Linked DNA regions of Arabidopsis thaliana. The protein of the gene in region 3 interacts with the protein of the main gene of each other region in a biochemical or structural test. Each region holds a gene or a part of one and is shown on either strand. Other genes may lie near its edges. The genes, in order: IAA12, IAA1, TIR1 and IAA14.

Region 1 (4,415 bases), on a different chromosome or scaffold from region 3:
AAAGATCAGTGAAAGATTACGATCGTGGCCGAGCTTCCCCGTACTTATCGAAGCACGGAACACCATTGAGATCAAACATTATCGCATCTACTCCGATGAGATCTAACGGAGTTGGATCAACTCCTATGAGATCCAACATCATCGCAATGTCACCGATGCATCCCAACATGGTTGGATCGACTCCAATGCGAACTCCTATGCGGTCTAACATGGTTGGTTCGACTCCAATGAGATCAAACATCGTCGGATCAACCCCGATCCGATCAAACTACATGGCTACACCGATGAGAACTCATCACGATTTTGGTACACCAGTGAGGAATTTAGCTGGAAGACGAATCTTAACTGAATCGGAGTTAGGACCATCGCCATCTGAAGTGGCTGACAAATTGGCGAAAGATAGATCGCACGAAACGGAAAGTTCAATACTCAGCGAATGGAGCATCGATGAATCTAGCATCGAAGGATTGCGATCAAAACTCGAGAGATGGCGAACAGAGCTTCCACCGTTGTACGACATAGGATCAAGCCATATAAGTAGCACTGATTACGATGGCGCGAGCGTTCCAGCTGCAACTGCCGGGGGAGGAATGAGTTCAAGACGGAAAACTCCGACGACGAAAAAGCATAACCGCCGTCACACAGATGGAGGTAATGGACTTTTCTCGTGTTTTAGTAAGATTTGTGGTGTGGAATGCAGTTTCGTATGCGGTGGTGGTGGTGGGCCGATGGTCTCAGAAGGATCTACTAAGAAAGGTGGAGCCGGACGTGTGCAACGCACATATTCCGCTGACGATCTGAGCTTTGTGTGATCTTTATTTTATTGGTCTTATATTAACTTTTATTTTTTTTGGAAAACTATATTTTTTAAGGATCTGAGCTGATGAATTAATCAAATAGTAAACAAAAATTAATTTATTAATGTTGTGTTAATAAATCATTTATTTTTGTGTATTCCTCTTCTTCTTCCTTATTTTTAAAAAATTAAAAAATGTTCTTCTTATAATATAGTGTTTAATAGAAAGTGAGCTCACACAACAAAATTAGAAAACTGTGAATGAATGTAAGAGAGTGAGTGGAATAAAAAAAATATAAAAATGAAATCTAAGAGTGAGTGAACAAATGTTGGTATTGTAGACAATGGTGACTAAAATTAAAAAGAAACAAAATGATATAAACATTAATCTAAAAAAAACTAAAATAAATATACAAATTCTGCATTTCTAACTATACTTTCATGTATTATGTATACTTATTTGATTCATACATGATATAACCGGTTATTTAGTTTATTTTCTATCAAATCCATCAATTAGAGCATGAAATCTATGTACTCCTTGATAATGATTTTGATCAAAAGTGTAATTTCCACAAACCAATTGCGCCTGCAAAAGTTTTCAAAGGATCATCAAACATAATGATGAATATCTCATCACCACGATTTTATAATAATGCATCTTTTCCCACCATTTTTTTTCCCTCACTTTCTTTTATAATCTTGTTCGACAACAATCATGGTCTAAGGAAAAAGTTGAAAATATATATTATCTTAGTTATTAGAAAAGAAAGATAATCAAATGGTCAATATGCAAATGGCATATGACCATAAACGAGTTTGCTAGTATAAAGAATGATGGCCAACCTGTTAAAGAGAGACTAAAATTAGGTCTAAAATCTAGGAGCAATGTAACCAATACATAGTATATGAAATATAAAAGTTAATTTAGATTTTTTGATTAGCCCAAATTAAAGAAAAATGGTATTTAAAACAGAGACTCTTCATCCTAAAGGCTAAAGCAATACAATTTTTGGTTAAGAAAAGAAAAAAACCACAAGCGGAAAAGAAAACAAAAAAGAACTATATTATGATGCAACAGCAACACAAAGCAAAACCTTGCACACACACATACAACTGTAAACAAGTTTCTTGGGACTCTCTATTTTCTCTTGCTGCTTGAACCAAACACAACAACGATATCCCAACGAGAGCACAACAGGTTTGATTATGTCGGAAGACAAGTTTTGAGAGAAAACAAACAATATTTTATAACAAAGGAGAAGACTTTTGGTTAGAAAAAATTGGTATGGCCATTACAAGACATATGGGTCCCAATTCTCATCACTCTCTCCACCACCAAAATCCTCCTCTCTCTCTCTCTCTTTTACTCTGTTTTCATCATCTCTTTCTCTCGTCTCTCTCAAACCCTAAATACACTCTTTCTCTTCTTGTTGTCTCCATTCTCTCTGTGTCATCAAGCTTCTTTTTTGTGTGGGTTATTTGAAAGACACTTTCTCTGCTGGTATCATTGGAGTCTAGGGTTTTGTTATTGACATGCGTGGTGTGTCAGAATTGGAGGTGGGGAAGAGTAATCTTCCGGCGGAGAGTGAGCTGGAATTGGGATTAGGGCTCAGCCTCGGTGGTGGCGCGTGGAAAGAGCGTGGGAGGATTCTTACTGCTAAGGATTTTCCTTCCGTTGGGTCTAAACGCTCTGCTGAATCTTCCTCTCACCAAGGAGCTTCTCCTCCTCGTTCAAGGTTCGTCCTTTTTCTTATTAAGAAAGCTCAAATCTTGTGATGTGAGTGTTATGCCATCTCAGGACAGAATTGTGTAGGTGCTTTTGTTTTAGTTTACCCTGAATAAGAGTTAGGTATCTATCTCCATTGATGAGCTTGTGCTTGTCCTGTGCTATAGATTTCTCTATGGAGTCATGCAAATGCTAAGATTTGTTCATTTTAATGTCTGTTTAGATGATTACATCTGAATTTCGAGAGCCATTGAGTGGAAATTTCTTGGTTTGTTGTGGCAGTCAAGTGGTAGGATGGCCACCAATTGGGTTACACAGGATGAACAGTTTGGTTAATAACCAAGCTATGAAGGCAGCAAGAGCGGAAGAAGGAGACGGGGAGAAGAAAGTTGTGAAGAATGATGAGCTCAAAGATGTGTCAATGAAGGTGAATCCGAAAGTTCAGGGCTTAGGGTTTGTTAAGGTGAATATGGATGGAGTTGGTATAGGCAGAAAAGTGGATATGAGAGCTCATTCGTCTTACGAAAACTTGGCTCAGACGCTTGAGGAAATGTTCTTTGGAATGACAGGTCTGTACTGTTTTCAAATGCGTACACTATAAACCCGATGTTTTCTATGAATCTACTGATAGTTTCTGTTTTATCTATCAGGTACTACTTGTCGAGAAAAGGTTAAACCTTTAAGGCTTTTAGATGGATCATCAGACTTTGTACTCACTTATGAAGATAAGGAAGGGGATTGGATGCTTGTTGGAGATGTTCCATGGAGGTAAGATTCGGATATTAAGCAGTATTGCAGTAGTTCAAAACCTGATTAGTCTCTTTTCTCTCTTTTTGTTTAGAATGTTTATCAACTCGGTGAAAAGGCTTCGGATCATGGGAACCTCAGAAGCTAGTGGACTAGGTAAGTTTTAAAGATCATCTTCTGGTTTCTTGATTTCTCGTCTTGACTAATGAAAAAGACTGATTGAATCATTTTTAATGCAGCTCCAAGACGTCAAGAGCAGAAGGATAGACAAAGAAACAACCCTGTTTAGCTTCCCTTCCAAAGCTGGCATTGTTTATGTATTGTTTGAGGTTTGCAATTTACTCGATACTTTTTGAAGAAAGTATTTTGGAGAATATGGATAAAAGCATGCAGAAGCTTAGATATGATTTGAATCCGGTTTTCGGATATGGTTTTGCTTAGGTCATTCAATTCGTAGTTTTCCAGTTTGTTTCTTCTTTGGCTGTGTACCAATTATCTATGTTCTGTGAGAGAAAGCTCTTGTTTATTTGTTCTCTCAGATTGTAAATAGTTGAAGTTATCTAATTAATGTGATAAGAGTTATGTTTATGATTCCAAAGAATGAATATTTGTTCCTTAATATGGTTTGTTGTTTTCTGTCTTTTTGAAGTTTCCATTGACTCGAGTCAAAACGTTTTGCAGAAACAGAGAAGAGTGTGTCATTAAAAAAAACAGAGAAGATGTTTATTTTTTTTGGTCGAAGAGAAGATGTTTCTAAGACCATCAAAATCATATATTGATGATTGATGACAAGAAAAGTTTTGACCATCAAAAGTTTTGTCCTTAATTGTTCTTAAATTCACACAAAATACGTTAAGAGTTATCTTTTAAAACTGCAAACTACTTTAAATTGATAAACTTTGAAAAGTAAAGATTTTATTCTTAATCTGATAGTTGAAGACAAAGAAAATAACAAATGTTTGGATTCACGTCACCAAATCAAAATATAATAAGGTTATGGATTGTTTAGGTAATATTTAACTTGTTACCTAGAAAAGGAGATACAGTGCTTAGCAAGTCCAACCAAAGATTAAAGGATAAGTAGTAAAGTCAAAAGACCAGTAAATTAAAGTCTTGTAGAGAAAGGAAGAAGGAAGATTCATG
Region 2 (3,336 bases), on a different chromosome or scaffold from region 3:
AATGAACTCTTGAAGTAACTTTGACTGTGTGGCATACTCTTCCTCTGTAGTTGGGTCCAAACCAACATGCAATTCTTTAGCCGAATCAGTTCCAGAAGAATCCATAGCTACAAATCTTCGAATCCAATTCTTGTAACTGAAACAAGTATCTCATAAATCACTAATGATTGCAAAACAATTCCATTAATCAGATTCATCATCCATAACTCTAAACCAATCAAGTTCTTAGTAGATATGATTGGCTTCAAATTCGTTAAAACAGAACAAACAAAAAACCAATCAAAGTAATAAACTTTCGGATTAAAAACTGTCATATAAACGATACCCATCAAAGCAATACCATCAATGATTCTCAATTCGTGGTAACACCATCAAAGTAATGAATTTTCGGATTGAAAAACAGAGACTGAGAGAAGAAGAAGAAGAGCTTACGGAGACTGAGTGAGTGAAGGAGTGATGAAAGTAGATCGGAAAAGAAGGCGACGAAGATGACGATGAGAAGAGCTCAAGTCAAATCCCAAATTGGTGGAGCAAGTTATTGGGTAGTGACTAAAGATTCTCGCCATCTAATATTAAACAAAACAAAAAAAAGTTGAAAACTTTCGATAGTGATATCCATTACATTGCCCATTTCTTAATCCAAAATTTTATATCTTTCACTATGTCCCAAACTTATGTTAGTATCAAATACTAAACTTTATTGGTTATGTTAGTATCAAATATCTTGAGCATACATATAAACTTCGTATAATCAAAACTCATCTTTTACAGAATTAACCAAAGCTAGTTTACATCTATATAACGTATTTGTAACCCTATTGCTTTTTCTTTCTTTACACCAAACTTTTTTTTATCTAAACAAAGTAGAATTTGTTTTTGCCTCGACCAAAAGGTGTTTTGAGACAATGGATCATAAGGCAGTAGGAGCTTCGGATCCTTTCATGATTCTGAGTTTTTGACAAGATGAAGAGAACATGTCCCATGGAACATCACCGACCAACATCCAATCTCCATCTTTGTCTTCATAAGTAGGTACAAATCCAGATCCTTTGTAGCCTTCTCTCTCGGAATATTCACCTACTGTGAACTTGAACATGTTCTCTAGTGCTTTGAGAAGCTCTGGATAGTTTTTGTACATCTTGAGATCTATCTTACGGAGATATGGAGCTCCGTCCATACTCACTTTCACATAACTCACGTTTTTGTTGTTGTTGTTCTTACGGTTAGATCTCACTGGAGGCCATCCAACGATTTGTGTTCTGAAGTTTACAAATCAAGATTCATTATTAGTACACCGATTGATATCAAGAAGTTTGGATATTAAAACTATAACTTTCAGATCTCAACTTACTTTGCAGGAGGAGGAGCAGATTCTTCTGTTGAGTCGTTGTTCTTGCGCTTGTTGTTGCTTCTGACGCAAGAAAGTTCTAGTTGTTGTTCTTCTTGTGCTCCGGGTAATCCCAAACGAAGCTCTGTGTCCTTAAGGTTAAGCCCATTGGTGACTTCCATATTCTCTCACTATACTTTAACGGAGAAGCTCTCTTCCTTAATTCTTGAACTACTTCTTCTTCTCTTGTTATTGCTCTTCTTGGGATTGTGATTTGATATCCTTGAAAATGCTTGTGTGTGTTGTGTAATGGTGAGGGAGAGAGAGAGATTTATATAAGGAAAGATGCTTTGAAATTAGGGTTAACGAGAGAGAGAGAGAGATATGAATTATGACGTTGTCGGGGAGCATGAGGAGGCAAGTTAGAGGCAAGGGGACAAAGGTGGGACACAAAGATTTTGGACGCGGCTTCTTTCTTATTTTCAACGGTCCTGATTTGTCTCCGCCAGTTGCGTACGCGAGATCCTAGCCGTTTCTTTCTCTTACGGTCAAATGAGTAAAGAGAAAATCATAAGAGTAAGAGAACTTCTCGACCTTCGTCCTTCTACCACACGATCACGCTAGGTTTATGTTTTGCAACTATTCGTTATTCGGATTGATTCAAGAAAATATCTAGATACATTTTGTATAGTTCAGATTGGATCATCGGATATCATAGTAGAAAAAATGAAACTAGTGTTGGACATGTTGATCATATAGATCAAGCTTTTTCGATCACCCCAGTTGTGGGGTAGTTTTCATGAAAATATTTCATTTTTGTGTAAAGGTTTGGTATATGGTAGAGTAGATGTCTAGAATAGATGATCAAATATTAATGGTCAATTTGTATCGAAGAATTAACAATTTCCTTTTATAAATATTTCGACAGTTTTTGCGTGAAAAGTAATGTTTTGTTTGCAAGAAACTATAGAACAAAATAATAGACAAAACACTGTAAAATATTATTTATTTTCTCGTAGACACATATATAAATTGTAAGTATAGGTTTGTACAATTATGATCAATAGTAAATAAATTGGGGAGGGAGATGCATGTGGATGAGGGTGAAGAGTGTTCTTAATGGAATAATGGATGCAGGAAGTATGGTAAGGCCATGTGATATGCTGTCTCAAATAACATTTTTTCTATTTATTTTATTTTAATTATTGTGTAAAATTTCATTTTAACATTTATTATAAATACAAATATCTATATGAAACTATATATTTTGTTGAAAAAGAGTTGAAAAAAATATCTAAAGAGATGATTTAAAAAAAAAAAAAAACCATTTTAAATGGGCTTTTGGGGACACGGCCCATGTGGTATTTCGAGCAAGGTAATACAATTAATCCCTTCTCGAAATTACGCATAACTATGTTCATTTAACTTGCAATTCCCATACCGCATGCACCTTAATTTGATGTTTATATTTGTGTTGGGCGTATATTCATTCCACAATCACTGTCCACTAAGAAATTTTATTGTCTATCTAGCGACAACGAGAACAAAAACTAGATCATATATGAACATATTGACAAATCAAAATGTATATGGGTTATTTTACCAATAAGCATTATCGTTTTTACAACAAGTATAAAGTAATGCTCCCTACGTTTAAAGTTTATAAGATGGTTGAACAATTTTTTGTCATTTTAGTTGTTGTTTTTGTTTTTCCATACAACATTTGTGTTTTAAATTAATAATTAGTACTCATATTATTGAACTATTATTAATCAAAAAGTTATTTCTAGTTTCTTATTCTTTTCATATTCATCCAAAACAATTTTTTTTATTAAAAAAAACATAAAGAGTATAACAAATAAAAAAGTATATGTATAAACTTGATCATGAAATACAGAGATGCTAGTCGCTAGAGGCTTGCGTGTTCAATATAAAACAAGACGTATGCTTATAAGAAGTAACATTTGTTAAATCTGTTTTGGAAATCCCTCTCATTGTGTGGGAGATGA
Region 3 (6,184 bases):
GACCAACCAACATTCTTTGTACAGATAAGCGCAACAGAGATGCCTGTTGAGTACAAGTTTGAGGTAAATGTCTAAAAATCCAACGTTGTGCCACCTCTTGGTTTGTTTTCCTTGTGCTCATGGTTTTACATCCGCCAAGAAAATGTCTGCAGGTTTCAATTCTCTGCAATGACTGCAACAAGGGGAGTAAAGCTATGTTCCACATTTTGGGACACAAGTGCAGTGATTGCGGTTCATACAACACTCGGAGAATCTCAACGCCACAAGATCCAGTGAGTGAAACAGAGTGATCATTTTCTGAAGCCAACTCTTCTTCATTGAATTTTCCCGTCATTGGTCCAACCATAGAGCGATAGGGCTGTGTTCTGCTTATTTATTTTTGTTCTTGGCCTAAAAACACTTGAAACGGAAAATATCGTACTGTTATATAAATGGTATTACTGTGTTTAGTCATCATGTAAACTGAAAATTTGAAAAAGCTTGTTTTTCATATGAAAAACAACAGTTCAATTACATTGTGTCCTATCACACGTTTGACGATGATGCTATTCCAAGACCTTTACACAGAGCAAGATTCTCTTGTTTCTAATTATGGTGATAAAGAGAGTGTAGGGACCTGAGACGAAACTAGGTGCTGTTCCAAAACCGAAAAGGCTGCAAACAGTTCATTAAGCGGACAAAGGAAATGGCAAAGACAAAGAGAGAGAGAGATAGAAAACATTTAAAAGGATAAAAGAGTCCAAACAAAACAAGTAGAACAGTTACATTTTTGACATTGTCTTTTAAAAAAATCTCTTATCCTCTTAAGAAAAATACCCCACCAGGATCTCTCAGTGTAAGTAGCCAAATAAACATACAACAATCAATAATTCTTACATAAATAAAACAAAGCTCTCTTAGATCTCTCTTTCTCTCTCTCCACTTATTCATTGCTCATGAGCTTGATGGTTATATGAAGCAGCCGAGATTCAAATTATTGGCGACCGAGCTCTCTCATGTTCCTAAACCGGAACACGATTATATGGGATGATGAACAAGGATTAATGAAAAATGTACCTCGTTTCTTTGTCTTATAATCCGTTAGTAGTAATGATTTGCCTGGAAAACCTCATTGTTGAGTCTTGGTCCATGTTCCAGACGAAGCCAGGCATGTCAAATCGAGGACCAGCCACTGTTCGGTATATGAAGACTCTCTCAACAGGGCAGCTCTCTGGTCTCGAGTCCGGTGCACCCCGTTCATCGATGACTTCCACATTCAGCTTTGGCATCTTCTGTCCTAGTAACTTGCAGGCTCCAAAACTCACGGAACAAGAAGACATCCAAAGGGATCGCATTGTCTCCAGCTTTGAAGCATTGGCCAAAAGCGCCTTGTCTCCAAACGGGCAGTCCCTTATCTCTAGTTTCCTCAAGCTATCGCACCCGGACAAAACATGATGCATGCCTAAGTCACTGTCTCCTGCAAATGCCACTGAGAGCATTTCCATCTTCTTGGCATATGTCCCAATGTATTCAAAAACCTTGTCGGTCAAGAGGCCAGATAGAGAGAGGCGACGGAGATCCTTGCAGTGCTCTACTATGGCTCCAAATCCAATATCCAGTGGCTCTAGAGTCAGATAGTCTGGGGCTTTTGGCTCAATGATGCACAAACGGAAGCGAGTCATGTTGGGACGGTTCCTAGCAATGGTTATCAATGCAGCATTGGTCATTTGACGGCAGAAGTAGAGAACCGACTCGAGTTTTGGACAGCCCATGGAGACGGAGACAAGCCCCTGTTCCGTCAATGCCACATTTGGTTCCATGACAAAAGGCTCGGACGGAAACACTCTCAGCTCGCGTAGGTCCTTGCAGGTTGAAGCAAGCACCTCAAGACCAGCATCCTCGATGTAGTCAAGCACCTGTAGTCAATAATAAGTTAGAGCACAGTTACAAAAAGAAAAAGGCTTTAATGCTTATAATTCAGATATATTGCTCTATATCATTCAAATTTTTTAAGAAAACTATGAACATAAGCTTTCTCATACCATACAGTAAAATGACCTATTCCAAATTCATGTGTTAATGTATGTTAAAATGGACTCACCCAGAGGCGCTGCAGTTTAGGGCATTGACAAAGAAGCTTGACAAGATCATAGCTCTGGACTGTTGCATAACTCAGATTCAAAGTTGTAAGCCGACTGCAAACCGAATAAACTGCTGGAAGATAGGCAGGAACAGCATCCCAAAATCCAGATAAGCACCTCAATTCCTTGCACCCAGAGAGCGCTACAGATAAACCAGAGTAAACATCTGGTCGCACTTCTGCAGTGTACCCACCAGTGCCCAATTCCTCCAATTGAGGTGCTCTTTGAAGTAAAGTAGCCAATTTTTCAAGTGGAACAGCTCGGTTAAGCTTGAGAGACTTGAGATTGGGACACCTAGTCACCAGCCTTTCCAGAGCAGAGAAACTGACCTCAGATGCTAAGCAAGATATATTGAGTGATACCAAAGAAGTGTATGTATCTGGGAAATGGCTAAGCCAGTGGCCACTAACGTCGTCAACATCACTCTCTCGTAAGTCAAGCTCTTTCAGATTCCTGCATAAGAAATCACATAATTAGCATCGAGTGACCCACATTATACAACTTCGAGAACATAAACATTGCCTACAATACATGAGCATAATTGTCATTAATTTGTCCAAAGTTGTATTTGATACAATGTAGAAAGATCACTTTGGGAAACTATCTAAGCATAGAACAATAACAAATTACTAAATTTATCACGTGGAAGCAATGTGAGAGATGCTAAAACAGAGCTAAAGCGAGTAAAGAAGGGGAATCCGAAAACAGATCTAAGTTTCCCAACAAGGTAAAAAAAGAAAATTGAAAGTCCCCTACAAAAAGAAAAGTAACACACACAAAGCCAAATTGATTAGATTTCCCACCTCAGGAGATTCACTGAGAGCGAATAATCCAGGAATAAATAGATACACCACCGTTAAATAAGACCCACCAGAAAGAAAAAGAGAGTGGCTATAATAAGAATCTTCAGAAACGTGATTAAAACATATATCTTTTAGATACGCAAAATCTTGACCAAACCAAAAAAAAGCTCACAAAGACCAGAGTAACATCAGCAGGAACAACGCAGCAAAACCTATATGCCCAGATCAAATAACAAGTACATGAATTTGCTATAATTGAGACTTTATGTAGTATAATGAATATACAAATCACACACCAATAAGTTTAATACAAACAAAAGCTTCTTCCTAGAGACACAAGGGAGTCTTCTTGATGAAACAAAAAACATTCAGAAAAAGAATACCTGCAAGTGGCAGCGATAGCAGCGAGACCATCGGTGGAGAAGCCTTCGCAGGAAGAAAGCACAAGAACCTTAAAATTCTTAAAAGACTTGGCTATGAGCTCCAAGCAATCGTCGGTGACCACCATCCTCTTCAGCCTTATCTCTTCAAGCCACGTGTAAGACGAAGACATGGCCTCAATCCATGGATACACGTAACCTCCCCATCCGTCAGGTACCAAATTAAAGTCAGCAAAGTGAGGTTTTCCTTTAAGCTCCACGGATCTCACTTTCGGGAACCTCCTAATCACCGTCGCTGGACTCACGGCGTAGCAGTTCCCGATGAAGACTTTCCTCCTGCACCACCGCTCGATCTCGTACCATGACTTGCACACCAGAGAGACTGAGTTCCTATCCTTATCCAGCTGAATAAACGAGAACACATGCTCTAGTACCTCTTCTGGAAACGACAAGGCTATTCGCTTCTGCATTGCGGCCAAATAACCTCGAGATCTCGATGATCGAACCAGAGGAAGAAGTTGGACAGCGTTCGAAGAAGAGTTGAACAAGTATATATATATAACTCCCAAGGTTAGATCTGAGGCGCCATTAACGGAGATAATCTAGTTTCAAAGGAGAAGCTGAAACAAAGATGAAGAAGATAGATAGAGAGAGAGAGAGAGTGGGAAGAGAAGAGAAAAGGATAGGGGGAAGGAGAAGGAGGTCAAGTTAAAAAAGCCAACCATGGTTGGGTTAAAAGTTAACCGTGGTCAAACATATCCATGTGAGCCTTTTCGGTGATTGTGATTGTCGATTCTGATGATGACACGTGTCTTATAAGCTTCAAATACCAGCCGTCCGATTGAATGAAAGCGGGAGATTATCTTATCGACTGTGCAGAGAAGGGCAGCCGCAGAAAACGGGACGAGATATTGGAGAGGGGGGGTCGGCTTATCGCGGCTTCTATCAAAATAGCGCGAGAAGGAGATCAATGATAGGGTGTGGTAAGGTGTAGGAGAAGAGGGAATCTAATGATACGCGATGCACGGCTGGATATGAGGGGAAGCCCCGTAAATTGCGGGGACCACAACAGAATGTTAAAAAAAATACTAGACTACTAATGATCTGACGGTAACAAAACAATAAAAAAAGAAGCTATTACTGTTATTTATGATGACATCACAACCGTCCAATCATGTTTTGATGTGGAATCTGAGCATCTATCTCCTCCTATTATTAGTTTTGCATGTTCATTTATTTACCCACCACTTGGATTCATAAATAAACCATCAAGACTAATCACAGTTTCATTTTCTATTTTCTAGTAATATATAGTATTGATAAATTTGATTAACTAAAGTGTATCCTTTCTCATAGCATTAAAGTGAAGTAAATAGAGTTGAATGATGAATTAACATAACAAGAATCAGTGTTTTCGTGTGAGATTGGATTAAAACATTATTTGTATGTTTTTGAAGATTGCTGAATAATTTAAATTAAAATTGAAAGGATTGCACAAAAAAGAGTAAATGTGAGGGAAGTATCCAATAATTTAAAGTGAACAACTTTTATGAGTAGAGAAAGAAAAAAAGAGAGAGAAAGAATGGATACTGAAAAATTTGAATAAAGTAGAGAAGAAAGAAAGAAAGAAAGTGCAGCGTCGCATTTTAATCACGACCGTCAGATCTGGGACCCCTTTTTAACAGTGTACGGACATACATACATACACAATCGTGACTTTTAAAATTAATAATTACTTCTTAATTAATTTACCTCGTCTGGGTGTAATAAACGTATAAAAACTACAATTATTTCGGGCTCTGTCGCAAGTACAACGGCTTAGAGGAAAATAAATGGGTATTGAATTGACGAGAATGCCCTTCTTCTCGAAACAGTGTATGATGGGCTTTGCAGAGTCTGAGCATGGAGTTGATAGGTCTGTCCTGCCCTAACTAAAAAAACTTGTCACATTATCAAACTGTTCTATATCATCTTCGTATTACATACCATCCTGACCGTTTATCCACTTAAACTACTATTTAAAATATCGCACCTTTCTAGTTTTCTTTTTGAATGTACTGTTGATTAGTTCTTAAACCAAAAATAAAATCTAAAAATTATAATGACATACATACAAATACGAAGATTTTAAAAAAAAAAAATGTAGCAAGCAAGTGCTCAGAAATTGAGGTAGTAACGAAGAAAGAGATAATTAGGAAAAAACAAAGAGAGGGCTGAGTATAGTCAGATGGGAGAAGTGTGGAGCTGAGTTGTCTTGCACGTAATACGCTTAAGTTTTTTTAAAATTATAAGTTTTAATGTCGTCAGAAAAAGGGATTAACTTACACTGATATAATAAGAGGTCATTGATTATGAATTTTTTAAGGAAATGATTAGAATAATAATCCCACGCATGGCTCCCCCGCGAATCTCTCTTATTTCTTTCTCCTAGTCTCGGGTTTCGTACTCAAAACTAGCTTGCTCTTTGCTGTCTATTATCCCTTAATTATCTCCCTAATTATTTTTTTAATTATCTCTTCAGCGATATTAGATCCAACTCTGAATGAATTATAAATTGTGTACCTAAAAGCCGAGAATATTACAGACTGCATTATACTACTACTGTTTATGTGAGATAGAAATATGTGTACGCATGTGTGGACGGACATATATAAAAGAATAACATAGTACTATAGTATTTACATAATACTACTGTTTATATATAAGATAGATGATGAGTGATATATATAATGCGATTGATGAAGAGGTGGTGTACAAGTACAAGTAAAGTGGCACGTGATTTATAAAGCTAATTTGGATTATGTCTTGATTATAATGACCTTCCCCATTAGTGGAAGCCATCCTTTTTTCCATTTTTATTCATATTGTTCTCTTCTCTATA
Region 4 (3,981 bases), on a different chromosome or scaffold from region 3:
TCTATGCTCCTAGAAAGTAGAAACGGCAAATTACGTAGATAAGTAGAAACAAGTTTACCAGAAATCTCCAATGTAGTGCAAGTAGAATTATTCGTTGGGCTCTCGGAACTCGGAAGCTAATGCTAAAATAGTCCATCATGAATGTAGTGCATCTGTTTTACTAATGGTTTGTGCTAATTAATGTTGTTTATATATGATAGGCTTCCGCATAAGTGATGTTGCTTTTTATTTTATTTTTATTACTAAAAAGTTTAGGCCTAGGAACATACGTCCTCTCAAACTAGAGCATTTTATATGGTTTCTTTCCAAATGTCATTACAACTGGTGATTTCTAGGTTTTGTCTTATAGTCTTTAACAATTGAGCTATTAACACTCAGTAAGTAATGTTATTGACATAAAAGAAATGTTTATTTGTAATATGATCAAATTTAACGATATATTATCAACCAAATAGTTTTATAATAATTATTTGAATACTAATAAAAATAAATATAAATGACTGTATATGTCGATAATATTAAATTTACATGATCTTGATTTACTAATACTCAGTTAGATTGTAACTTTTAATATTTTCATCAGATTTGAATATCAACTTTTGCTGGATATTTTAACTTTTTAAGTAAAGTATTCATTATGGTGTTATTAATTAAAAGGATTATGTATCATTGGAATATTTTATTGTATCTAAAATAATAGTCATTTTATTTCCAAAGATTTCCAAAGGATATTATCCCATAACCACAAAACAATGGGTGGTATAGTTTATATAGAGATCGCAAGTAAAATCCATGTGCACTTTTAGCTTATTTAAGTTTTGAACGGCTCATTATATTCTTATTATTTTTGATATCCAATGATTAACTAAAATCAATGATAAGAAATTTGATTATAATACGTCTAAACAAAGAAAATGTAATTGAGCATGCTAATAAATATAGTCACAAAGCCGCACTTTCCGTCGAACAAATTATACGTTCATGTGTGGTTATACTTGAACCACATGATTGGAAGGTTCGGAAGACAAGCTTATTTTAATTTGATTATGCTCTTTAATAATGATTTAATGGACAACTGAACAAGCCCATTTTCCTAAAATTGCCCCATCATTTCCCGGAATTTCAGGACAATGTTGAGAGAAGATGGTCCAAATTGAAGTAAAATATATACTAAGATTGTTATCATTGATTATTTGTTGTACGTCTTAATTAGGATCAAACTTAGTTGGTCATAACTATTTTCACCGATGCTGACTTCGAAAGTTTTAAGAAATATAATTATATGATTAAATCATATAATAATGTTGACCAAATACGATTCACGGAATTTTTACCGCCCAATTTCTGTATACATGTGATGTGATACGTGAAGAGTTGACCAATGGAGGCAACGTCTAACAAATTGGTAGGCAATTAAAAAAGTACATTAATCATAGAAGTGATCAATAAAGACATTACTTAGACATGTTGAAAGAGGTACTCATGTTTTTATAATATCATTTTTATTTACTCGGAATCTTAATATATTTTCATTTTTATTTACTTAACATATTTTGGGCAAACGTATGTTCGTATTTTCAAAACCTAAGAGATGTAACAATATCATTCAACAATCAACGGTCATCACTCATCACCTATACTTTTCAGGTTATTGACATGAAAGAGTGAGATTTACTAAAACAACCTACCAACGTTTAGCAGAAGGCCACGTGTTGAGAACCCACATTGCAAGAAAATGTAGGGATTCCATGCACTACAGCAGATACACAATAGACCTTTGTATTTTAATAGTTAAAGAATTAGAAAAGTCAGACGACTAATCACGGGTTTAAACCGTTTTTTTTCTACCACTATAGTATAGTACTATAGTCTCTTTCTTCGTCCCTTATATTATCGACTCTATCTCCTTACCTCATTCTTGTTCCCCTCTTATCAAACTTCACCCCCAACAAGAGTTATCGAGAGAGAGAGAAAACATATTCTGATTTAAGACATATATAGACAGCAAGAAGAGATATGAACCTTAAGGAGACGGAGCTTTGTCTTGGCCTCCCCGGAGGCACTGAAACCGTTGAAAGTCCGGCCAAGTCGGGTGTTGGGAACAAGAGAGGCTTCTCCGAGACCGTTGATCTCAAACTTAATCTTCAATCTAACAAACAAGGACATGTGGATCTCAACACTAATGGAGCTCCCAAGGAGAAGACCTTCCTTAAAGACCCTTCTAAGCCTCCTGCTAAGTAAGTTCTATTTACACAATTCCTTAAGAAGAAGACCTTCCTTAAAAGGGAAGACTTTTTTTTTTTTTTTTTGAGATAAAAAGACTAATAGTTGATATAAAAGTTCTTAAAATACATATATATGAAAGATGTAAGGATGCATAAGTAATAACGTTATTGAATGTGTGTGTGTGTTGTTATATTCTATGCAGAGCACAAGTGGTGGGTTGGCCACCGGTGAGGAACTACCGGAAAAATGTTATGGCTAATCAGAAGAGCGGCGAAGCAGAGGAGGCAATGAGTAGTGGTGGAGGAACCGTCGCCTTTGTGAAGGTTTCCATGGATGGAGCTCCTTATCTTCGGAAGGTTGACCTCAAGATGTACACCAGCTACAAGGATCTCTCTGATGCCTTGGCCAAAATGTTCAGCTCCTTTACCATGGGTATGCATTTTCAGACATATAAGTCGAATTATCATTATTATTTTTGTGTTTACTTACAATTTTTTCTTTTTAACGATACAGTTTTTTCCATATACGACTAATTAATATGATAAGTTTTGGGATTTTGATTAATTAAGGGAGTTATGGAGCACAAGGGATGATAGATTTCATGAACGAGAGTAAAGTGATGGATCTGTTGAACAGTTCTGAGTATGTTCCAAGCTACGAGGACAAAGATGGTGACTGGATGCTCGTTGGTGATGTCCCCTGGCCGTGAGTTTCCTCATTCTTCTTGCTTTCATTATTATGACCAAAATTATTCTCTAAACAAAAAAAACAATATTCTCTAAAGCATTATTATTGATATTACTTATCAAAAAAATACACAAAATGATAATCAATATCCATGTGTTATAAACACGCACAGCCATCTTTTGGTTGGCATGGGACAGAACTCAGAGACAGAGAAGATGTTTATATATAAATACTAACTCATCAATATGTTACCTCATTTGTAGCTGGCACATATTCTTTCACTTTCAATAGATTTCTAAATTTAGTCACCAACCCAAATCCCGATTTCAGGATGTTTGTCGAGTCATGCAAACGTTTGCGCATAATGAAAGGATCCGAAGCAATTGGACTTGGTAAGTTTTCTTTTCTGTTCGTTTCTATAAGTGGCTCTTTTCTGTTTTTCCAATAATGCTCGTGTTTTTTTTTCAGCTCCAAGAGCAATGGAGAAGTTCAAGAACAGATCATGAACAAAAAAAAAAGAGGACAATATGCATTGATTTTTTTTTTTTGGTATTGTTATGATCATGTGTTTTTAATTTAAAATATTGGAAGTATATAGGAAAATATAATTGTTTACGAAAAAAATAACTTTAAATATGTCTTTTTTTTTTTTTTTGAAATTAGTCTGTGTTTTTGTTTTCATCTCTTAATTAGTAGAAATCATTTTTTAATATGTAATTGTGATAGTAAATCTATAGAGTTCGTATTTTTGCTATTTAAAATTTAAAATGCTAATACTATATATAATTTATGATAGGTAAATTTACGTTAAATAATTTATCTCCACTTTTCCTACTTTATTATTCTTTTCCTCTTTATTTTCTCATTTATTGGCTTTACAGATTATATTTGAAATTTGTAACTATTTTTGATGTATCTAAAAACATTTCACATAACAATTTCTTAAGAAAACTAAGAAAACTGTTGGTATATTTTTTGACTAAAATGGTTTCCAAAAAGATTTTGAAACGAACTAAAATCTTCATTACAAAACCAATTTTAAAACTACAAAACAAATATTCATGGTTT

Evidence for each region.
Region 1: the proteins of TIR1 (region 3) and IAA12 form a complex in vitro, tested with the Arabidopsis thaliana proteins (one study listed by BioGRID).
Region 2: the proteins of TIR1 (region 3) and IAA1 form a complex in vitro, tested with the Arabidopsis thaliana proteins (one study listed by BioGRID).
Region 4: the proteins of TIR1 (region 3) and IAA14 form a complex in vitro, tested with the Arabidopsis thaliana proteins (one study listed by BioGRID).

The regions. Positions count from the first base shown.
Region 1 is NC_003070.9:1,238,250-1,242,664, forward strand, and holds IAA12 (AUX/IAA transcriptional regulator family protein), read left to right. Parts: upstream 1-2,044; 5' UTR 2,045-2,332; coding exon 2,333-2,535; intron 2,536-2,807; coding exon 2,808-3,094; coding exon of another isoform or gene 3,095-3,126; exon of another isoform or gene 3,127-3,175; coding exon 3,176-3,293; exon of another isoform or gene 3,294-3,366; coding exon 3,367-3,428; intron 3,429-3,511; coding exon 3,512-3,561; 3' UTR 3,562-3,908; downstream 3,909-4,415. Other genes in the region: AT1G04540 (Calcium-dependent lipid-binding (CaLB domain) family protein), read left to right, coding at 1-812.
Region 2 is NC_003075.7:8,359,355-8,362,690, reverse strand, and holds IAA1 (indole-3-acetic acid inducible), read right to left. Parts: upstream 1,696-3,336; 5' UTR 1,510-1,695; coding exon 1,352-1,509; intron 1,260-1,351; coding exon 911-1,259; 3' UTR 658-910; downstream 1-657. Other genes in the region: AARE (acylaminoacyl-peptidase-like protein), read right to left, coding at 1-136, 433-566. UniProt on the Arabidopsis thaliana protein: Aux/IAA proteins are short-lived transcriptional factors that function as repressors of early auxin response genes at low auxin concentrations.
Region 3 is NC_003074.8:23,272,409-23,278,592, forward strand, and holds TIR1 (F-box/RNI-like superfamily protein), read right to left. Parts: upstream 4,223-6,184; 5' UTR 3,774-4,222; coding exon 3,307-3,773; intron 2,574-3,306; coding exon 2,081-2,573; intron 1,896-2,080; coding exon 1,071-1,895; 3' UTR 657-1,070; downstream 1-656. Other genes in the region: AT3G62970 (zinc finger (C3HC4-type RING finger) family protein), read left to right, coding at 25-63, 153-290. UniProt on the Arabidopsis thaliana protein: Auxin receptor that mediates Aux/IAA proteins proteasomal degradation and auxin-regulated transcription.
Region 4 is NC_003075.7:8,347,959-8,351,939, reverse strand, and holds IAA14 (indole-3-acetic acid inducible 14), read left to right. Parts: upstream 1-1,676; 5' UTR 1,677-2,016; coding exon 2,017-2,237; intron 2,238-2,428; coding exon 2,429-2,658; coding exon of another isoform or gene 2,659-2,759; intron 2,760-2,795; coding exon 2,796-2,931; coding exon of another isoform or gene 2,932-2,935; intron 2,936-3,243; coding exon 3,244-3,361; downstream 3,362-3,981. UniProt on the Arabidopsis thaliana protein: Aux/IAA proteins are short-lived transcriptional factors that function as repressors of early auxin response genes at low auxin concentrations.